Caenorhabditis elegans: one gene and its partner. The protein of the gene in region 1 purifies or fractionates together with the protein of each later gene. This does not show direct contact. Each region holds a gene or a part of one and is shown in the gene's direction. Other genes may lie near its edges. The genes, in order: grl-7 and F58B4.5.

What was found.
Region 2: the proteins of grl-7 (region 1) and F58B4.5 fractionate together in Caenorhabditis elegans (co-fractionation; one large-scale study listed by BioGRID). This does not show direct contact.

What each region holds. Positions count from the first base shown.
Region 1 is NC_003283.11:11,344,299-11,348,833, reverse strand, and holds grl-7 (Ground-like domain-containing protein), read left to right. Parts: upstream 1-1,821; 5' UTR 1,822-1,822; coding exon 1,823-2,320; intron 2,321-2,368; coding exon 2,369-2,416; intron 2,417-2,608; coding exon 2,609-2,665; intron 2,666-3,030; coding exon 3,031-3,306; intron 3,307-3,618; coding exon 3,619-3,722; intron 3,723-3,802; coding exon 3,803-3,878; 3' UTR 3,879-4,003; downstream 4,004-4,535.
Region 2 is NC_003283.11:10,931,115-10,935,017, forward strand, and holds F58B4.5 (CHK kinase-like domain-containing protein), read left to right. Parts: upstream 1-1,578; 5' UTR 1,579-1,625; coding exon 1,626-1,766; intron 1,767-1,813; coding exon 1,814-2,083; intron 2,084-2,128; coding exon 2,129-2,617; intron 2,618-2,664; coding exon 2,665-2,934; intron 2,935-2,987; coding exon 2,988-3,089; 3' UTR 3,090-3,131; downstream 3,132-3,903. Other genes in the region: scvp-1 (Secreted nematode Clade V Protein gene family), read right to left, coding at 1-76, 131-175; F17C11.12 (Major facilitator superfamily (MFS) profile domain-containing protein), read right to left, coding at 3,161-3,259, 3,307-3,390, 3,531-3,903.

The sequences.
Region 1 (4,535 bases):
AAATTTGGAAGGGTTTGCAGAGCCTACAAAGCTAATTTATCTTACAATGTAAACTGTTGAGACGGTAAAAATGGAACTTGAGCAACATTTACAAGGCAACTACTATTCTGATTCTCGATTTGAAAAACGAATCCGAAAACTGTTACGTGGCAATGTTTAAAGATGTTCCTAGATACATTGTTTTGACAAGAACTGATTTTCTGAACTCAAAAAAACTAAAGTAAATCACTTCAATTTTGTAGAAATTTAGAGCATTGATATGCATGTAGTTTGGTTTTTGCAAGAGTCAATTTTTTGGAAAATCTAAATTATAATGTTTGATTTTTTAATTTAGCACGTGGATTGTGCTGCTACTTTTTTTGCTATTTTGCCTCGACCCAAGCTAGGCAGACTAGGTGGGTACCAAAAATAATATGTTACTTTAAATTGCCACACTGTTTAGTTTTTAGTGCAAATAACTATCATATATGTAAATACTTAACTTTTTAATTTAAATAATTTCAAGAAGAAAAACGAAATATTTTTAGATTTCCGAGTTCAATCTTGTTCATCTGATAGAGCATTCACGTTGCAATGATCATTCGTACAAAGAAATGAAATTAATCATTAGTTGTGATCTACACTATTCTTCTAGCAAAAATCTAAACTTCCAGTTTCTTATTTTATTACTGTGTCTGAAACCTCAAAAAACTGATTTAAAAGTGATTCATGTTATCATTTTGTCAATAAAGAACAGCATTTTTCAGTTTCCATGTTATAATGCCAATACAAGAACCCGTTGTTGCCATCCACTATCATTCTAAAAGAGACGGTAAAATCAGATTATCTTGATCAAAAACAAATCCCGAATATTGGCGAATATTGCATATATACGTCTCTTAATTCATCGTCAACGTTAGCGAGATAAGAGAGCGGGATTGCGCAGGTGAAGCCGTCGACAGCATCATCGGGTTCTTTTTCCGAAAAAATCGAGAACAATGGAATAGTTGAAGAGAGAAGCTAGCAAGTTTTGGGGTGTGTGCCAGCGGCTACAATTGATAACACATTTTTGATGGTGGTTCGACCGTATAAAAGCTTTCAAGATTCACCTGAAACGAGATTCAATCTACGATGGTTTTTTTTTCCATTTTTCACGATTTGTTTTGTTTAATCGATATTTAATGGAATAATACAATGTAAAATACAGTATATAACCTTTTCAATTTAGTGTCTTAATTTAGCAATATAGTGTGAATTGGAATTTGTCTACATCCATTGACCATCTGATCTTCCTACAGAAACTTTCACTTATTGCTTTTGCATAAATTTCCAATTTCGGTTATTCTTATTAAACTTTGAATGGCAGTGTGACGTGGCGATAGGGCTATTAGAAAATTATGAAGACCGCTGAACAAACTTGTCTTATTCGTTGCCATTCATCATGAGTATAATGAGAAATTAATCATACTTCTATTGCATAACCGCCCATCAATTTGGATATGTCCACTTCCACACAATTTCTGACAATGTTCTCGTATTCAATCCTATTGACAATCCAGCCAAAAAACCGGACGCTCGCAGCTTATCACTATCAATCAAACCCGCCAAAGCATTTTCTACCCACCGCGCTAACCGATCGGTTCTCTTGTTTCACTAGTTTACAGGGTAAAGCATCTAAGCTTCTCTAGGCAGCTTCTGACCCAGATTCAAATCTACCTCACCGTGATTCCGCATAGCAATAGTTGTAAAAGTAATTGGCATTTGGGTTTTGATGCTTCTTCTCTCCACCTTCTTTTCATTCGGTCCTTCGTCATTTTCATTCACTGTTGATTCTATTTCCAGAATGCTATTCCGACTTGTCTCCACTCTCCTTCTTGCTCAAACCACATCAGCATTCTTCTTCGGAGGAGGTGGTGGAGGTTGTGGATGTCAGCAGGCGCCAGCTTGCGCTCCACATCCAGCTCCAGCTCCATGCTCTGGAGGTAACATCGTTCAAGGATACGTTGGTGCTCCACAGCAAGGAGGATATGCTGCTGCTCCACAATATCCACAACAGGGAGGATACGGAGGAGCTCAACAAGGCTTCCAAGCTGCCCCAGCTCCATACCAACCCCAAGGAGGATACCAAGCTGGTCCAGCACCAGTTCAAGGATATCAACCACAAGCTCAAGTCCCAGCTGGAGGATATCAAGCTCCAGTTCAACCAGCTCCGGGACCAGCTGAGGTTGCTCCAGCTCAAGTTCAAGCCGGAGGAAATTACCAAGATGCTCCAGCCCAAGTCGCGGAAGTTGCTACAGCTCAGGAATCGGCTCCACCACCATCAGAAGCTGCTTACACTGGGGTAATATTAAAATGCATTACATATTAATTCTTTACTTTTAATTTGCAGGAACAAGAAGTAGTAGCTTCCCTTGCCCGTGAAGAGCCAAACTACCAGGTATGATGCTTGCTTCTGCTTTCATTTTCTCTCAGCTTTTACCATTGAATGACTAATACTGATTTTAAGCTTAAAGCGTTTTGTATAGCCTGCATGCCTTTCATCTGCTAAAATTCACTCGCACCATGGTCTTATCGACAATTCCTTCTTTTTTATTTTTTTCGCAACTTTCTTGCATGCATTCACTTTCAGAACACTGGCACCAATGTGATCGAAGCGGCTCAGCACGCTTCCGAGCTTGGAAACCAGGTACGGAGGGTCTCATTAACATTGAGTACCTTTTACATGGCTTGTTACTAACACCAAATTTTGTTTCATTTCTTTGTAAGTAGGCAATTTGTGCAAAAATACGTATTTTGGAAATTATCAGAGTAGTCCCAATCAATCACTATAACGCACAAAAAATTGATTTATCGTAAAAAATATAAATATATTTCATAGTACGTAGGAACTCTTTTCTTATTTGATAATTTTTTTTTTTTTGGCTGTGGAAAACACTTTTATCTTCCTAAATATCCCTTGCAAATATTTATCAGTGCCACTAAAAATAAGGTTTCTTCTTATTCTCGATCCAGAAAAATGTGAAAATGTTTCCTGGAATCTTTTGATTTCAGGCCGCTGCCGCTGCCGCCAAGGTCGCAGAAGTCGTTGAAGAAGAAGAAGAGCCAATCAAAAAGAAAGACGAAGGAAAGACTACACATATGAAGACCGTTAAAGCTCCAGCTGCTGCTTCCTCAACCACTGCCGCTGCTGCCTCGACATCTACAGAATTTCCAGTTGGAGAAGAGATTGTTGCAGACACCAACGAAAAGGAAGTTGATATCAGTGAACTTCACCTTACCGATGACCCACTCTGCAACTCTGATGATTTGAGAAAGGTTGTTATCGATGTAAGTTTGTTTTCTATTTTTTGAAAATATGCACCATGAGGAAAGACAAAATTAGCAATTATAAAAAATTAATTTCATTTAAAAGTTTTCAATATCAATCAGGCAGTATTTCCTGGATATTAAATCGAATTCCAATCCCAAAACATCTTACTCAAAACAAATAATGATTCAATTTTTTAAATTTTTCGCAGGAACTCTACTATTTTACGATTAAAGTAAAATTCTGAATCAATATGATTCCTTCATGAGATTTCCAATAGAAATTTGAAACTCGCGAATTTGATAAATTTCTTCAAGCCATTCGTATTGCAGAACATCGATGACCAATTGAACAGCTCAAAGAGAATGATCCAATTGGCAGCTGAGGCCCAATTCGGTGGACGATTTGATGTGATTTGCGCAAATGGCGATTTTAGGTGAGGATAGATGGTGGTGTGGCGTAATTTTACGACCGGTCATAACTATTCATTCAATAGGTTAACATTTAATGTTGCAGCTATGTGACCAACACCGAGCTCTACTGCCAAGAGACCAAAGGGGATATCTCATGCTACACCTACCGTCAATTGTAAATATAGAAATCAAAGATTTCAAAAACAGTGTTCCAAGTGCAATATAGAAAGGAAATTGTTTCATTTTCTTCTCCTCTTTGTTATATTATTTCCTGGTTCGACTAATAATAAAGTATTCGCTTAATAAACAGGTTTTTCATCTTCCGTATTGGTATAAGTCAATTTAAAAGAAAGATTTATGGGATTAATGAAAATTTCTTGAATGGCTAAGTATGTACACATTGCATAATTTTTTATTTTGATTTTATTTTCGGCATACTTAAAATAGAAAAACAGGAAATACATGAAAAAGAGGATGAGGTGAAAATGCATAAAATAAGAGGAAAATCAAATCAACCAAAACTGATAAATTTTCTTTGAAAGCATTGATATTTGGGTGGTCGGAGTATTTTTTTGAATTTTTGAATTTTTTCTTGTTTAAAATGTTTTTTTGAGTCACAACTCCAATAATCGTAGAGCATCACCGTACAAATTGCGAAATCATTGAGAATCTGAAAACGCTTGGAGAAAAAAGGGAATTCAGGCTACACAACATAACTATGAAGAGGAAGATGTTTGAGGGTAATAATATGAAATTGAAAGATCCCTGAACTGATAGGTGGAGACGTGGACGTAGACATTCGAAGAAGCGGAAATCTGAAAGATATGACATGTGGC
Region 2 (3,903 bases), 410 kb from region 1:
TTATATTGACAATCGGCGGTGGCTCAAATCCACTTCCTTCTTCCGTCAAAAGTTGGTCGTCCAAAGCACAAAAGCCCTGAAAATATTTTTTCAAGACAGAAAATGAGAAAACCGTCATCTATTCACTCACCAAGCAGACTACAGAAGCAAATAGTAGTATATAGGATGTAATCATTTCTGATTTATCAGAAATTTTGTTCGCTTTTATAGAAGCGTGTTCTGTTTACTATTGATTTATGTGAATAGACAGATTCATGAATTTGATTTCACTTTCAGAGCAAATATTGGCTAGAGTAGAGAAGTCAATATATTTTCAATAAAAGTCCATTATTAGCATCTCGTAAGAAAGCCATGACTATACATCAAACTGGTAATGTTTATAAAAGATATGTTGAGTAAGAGCTTTTGGAGCATTGCAAAGGTATTTCATTTTTAAAAAATTTATTTAGAAACATTTTGCTAACTTTGAACCACATACATTTGCATTTTTTCTTTTGCTTCCAGGCAACTTTTTGAAACTTATTTGAAACGTGTTAACAGAATTTCCAAGATGTCAGAAAGATCAACGTTTTGACTTTGCCATCCCATACTGAATCTGCATAAACTAAATTAATTTGGAACAAAAAATGAAAGATTGGGACTGAATTATTAATATATTAGTTTTGAATCCTATATTATTTTAGCTTTCTTCCTTCCAGGCGATTTTTTTCGTTAGATATTTTTCTTCGTTTCTTGTCAATCAATTTTATATAAAATTAACAAAATCGCGACATGGTTTGAGGACGTTTAAAGAATTTGTTCCTGATTGGGATTGTAATACGTTAGCTCAAACACCAATTCCAAGAGCTCACTGATGTTGGCGGTCTTGATATGTGAACTGAACCAAGAAAACAAAAAGACATCACCTGTTCTTTAGATGAAAAAGGAAAAACACAAGATATATCTTACTATTAGTCGGGGTGATTTTAAATCAAGGTTGTTTAATAATCTGCATTTCATTTTCAAGATTTCAGAAAACTAAATGCCTGAAGAAGTTCAAGTCTGCAAAGAACCTGAAAAAAATCCATTTTTCATACTTCAAAACTCAAATACTTGTTTCGTTTAGAATTTTATCTCGATTCAAATCATAAAGTTTTCGATAAATATTCATAATCGGTGAATATTAATTTCTGAAGCATTCCCTGTAGGAAATAAGTCACAAAGTGGAAGTGTGATCAGTGCAAGTTTCAATTGAAATTTAAGATAAACATGACAACGCATTTGTGCATGTTCTTTGATATGAAATCTCATAATTTGGTTTTTTTTTTCGTTTTGGAAATCGATTTTCTCGCTGTGATCGTCATGAAGTCAAACAACCCGGATGTTTTAAAGATGCACTTTCTCCGAAAATTCCAGATTTTTTTCGGTTCCAAACCACGGTTTGAATTGTGAAAATGGTTTGTGCATGGCTTTTAAAAAATCAAACATTTCTCAACAGATAAGGCGTACCCAATCAACCTATCGATGAAATGCTCGCGATAAGGCGGTCATGCACGTGCTTATAAAACAACAGAGACAGTGTAGTTTTCAGTTAAAACTTTTAAATCAGCATTTACATCATCTTTTTTCTTGAAAAGGCAGTTGTAATGTCGTTGTATACTGTTGCTGATGGACTTCTTGGAACTCATGTTACCTGGGAAGATGTGCTGGAAGAAATGCAAAAGGCATTGGATACAACTGCCACTTTTGGAGATGACAAAACTGCCACAAATATCAGTGATATGAAGGTATTTGATTCACTTTGTACTTATAATATTCGACGTTCACATTTTAGGGATTCATGTCCAAAATAGCTCTGGTCGAACCAAAGTGGGTAGGGGCTTCTGAAAACGAGGAACTGCCTGAAAAGTTTGTGGTCAAGATTTCATCTCAACTTCCATTCATTGAAATGACCAAGCTTATGGATTTTTCTTCCGGTGATGAGTTTTGGGATGATGCAAAACTGAAAGGAATGGGAGAAGTTACAAGATTGCTTCATAATAGAGAAGTTGCCACGTACAAGATTTTGATGAGAGAAAAGCATCCAAAGATTCCATTCACGAAGGTGAATAAATTGATTTTACTTGAATTTTTACCTGAAAAACTTTAGGTTTACGCATCAAAGCCATTTGACGACGAGAATAAATTGAAGGCTTATTTGATTTCCGAATATTATCCAAATATTCATCATATTGGAATGCATGAAAGTATTCCAGCTGAAGATCTGATTCCAGTTATTCATGCAATTGCTGCATTTTCTGCGATTGGTATGAAATTAAGTGAAGAGGAGACAAAATATGCTCGCGGAGCCGACTTTTTGGATATTGTTTTTGGACAATTCATGGATGAGAAGTCAATTGAAAGAATGAATGTACTGCTTAAAGCGTCATTCCCAGAAGAGTATTTGGAGAAAGTTGAGGAAATGCTGAAAATCTACAAAGACTATTATTTCCAACCGCAAATGATCAAAAATTTCAAAAATACATGCCAATTCTTTGGTTATAAACCAGTTCTCACCCATTCTGATTTGTGGAGCTCAAACTTTTTGTGTACTCGAGATGGAGAAAAAGTTACATTGAAAGCGATTATTGATTTCCAGGTTAATTTAGATTTTTAGAAGCTTATTTCCAGATTTTTGAATTTCAGACAGTTTCAATCACAACTCCAGCACAAGACGTTGGCCGATTGTTTGCATCATGCTTATCAACAAAAGATAGAAGAGAAAAGGCAGATTTCTTGTTGGAAGAATACTACAATACATTTGTAAATGAACTTGATGGAATGGATGTTCCATATACATTCCAACAACTTAAAGATAGTTATCAAGTTTACTTCCCACTAATGACTACAATGGTTCTTCCTGGAATTGCACCAATGCTCCAACATTCAAATGTAACTGAAGAATACAAAGACTCTGTATGTTTAAATGTTCTACTTCTACGTACTTATTGAGAAAGAAAAAATTTCAGATGAAACAAGTGGCACTAGACAAAATGATTGGACTTCTTGAAGATGTTATCACAACTCACGAGAGCAATATTAAAAACTTCCCAAAATATTTTGAATTCTAAGTTCAGCAATAAACAAACTGTTTTAATAAAAGTTTTATTTGTATTGTTTTTTTTTCAATTATAATATGCATCTAAACTCGATCTTCTTCCTCTTCATCGTTCCCGATAGTCTTTGTTCTATTGACAATAAAATCCTCAAGAGGCTTGTTTTTTGTTTCAGGAATCAAAAACTGAAACGAAAAAAAAATTTTAATTAGAGAAAATTCGCTCAACTTACTCTGAAAAATATGAAATCAGCCAATCCGATGGCTAAAAGTATGGCGTATGGCAAAACTGGAAAGTCAATACCAGTGTACAAGTTCTGAAAATCAAGCGTTGGTTTTAAGTTTTTGATGGTCATATTTTTATTCAAGATTTCAGGCAGACTTAGTGTTGTTCTTCAGAATTCTGGTCTTAATTTTAAATCTATTCTACAGTTGTTTGAAATTTAAAAAAAATCACCAAGTGGAACACATGGGGAGCAAAAACAATTCCAAATCTTGAGCAAAGCTGAGCAGTTGAATATGAAATTGATCGAATTGCAGTTGGCATCAACTCATTTGAAGCAATACTTGCAACAATAATTGCTTGAGAAGTCATAGCACACGATAACAATACTCCTATTCTGATCAGCACAGAAAATGTTGCAGTTGTATCGGTTAAACAAAATGCAATAATTGCAACAATTATGGAAATAGTAACCACGCTACAAATTCCATGACACATTTTTCTGTCAAATTTCTCAAATTTGTAATCCAAGAGTCCACTGAACAAGCTGAATGAGTAACGTAGAAGTCCAATGAGAATAGAGTTCATGTATATTGAACCAGCGACA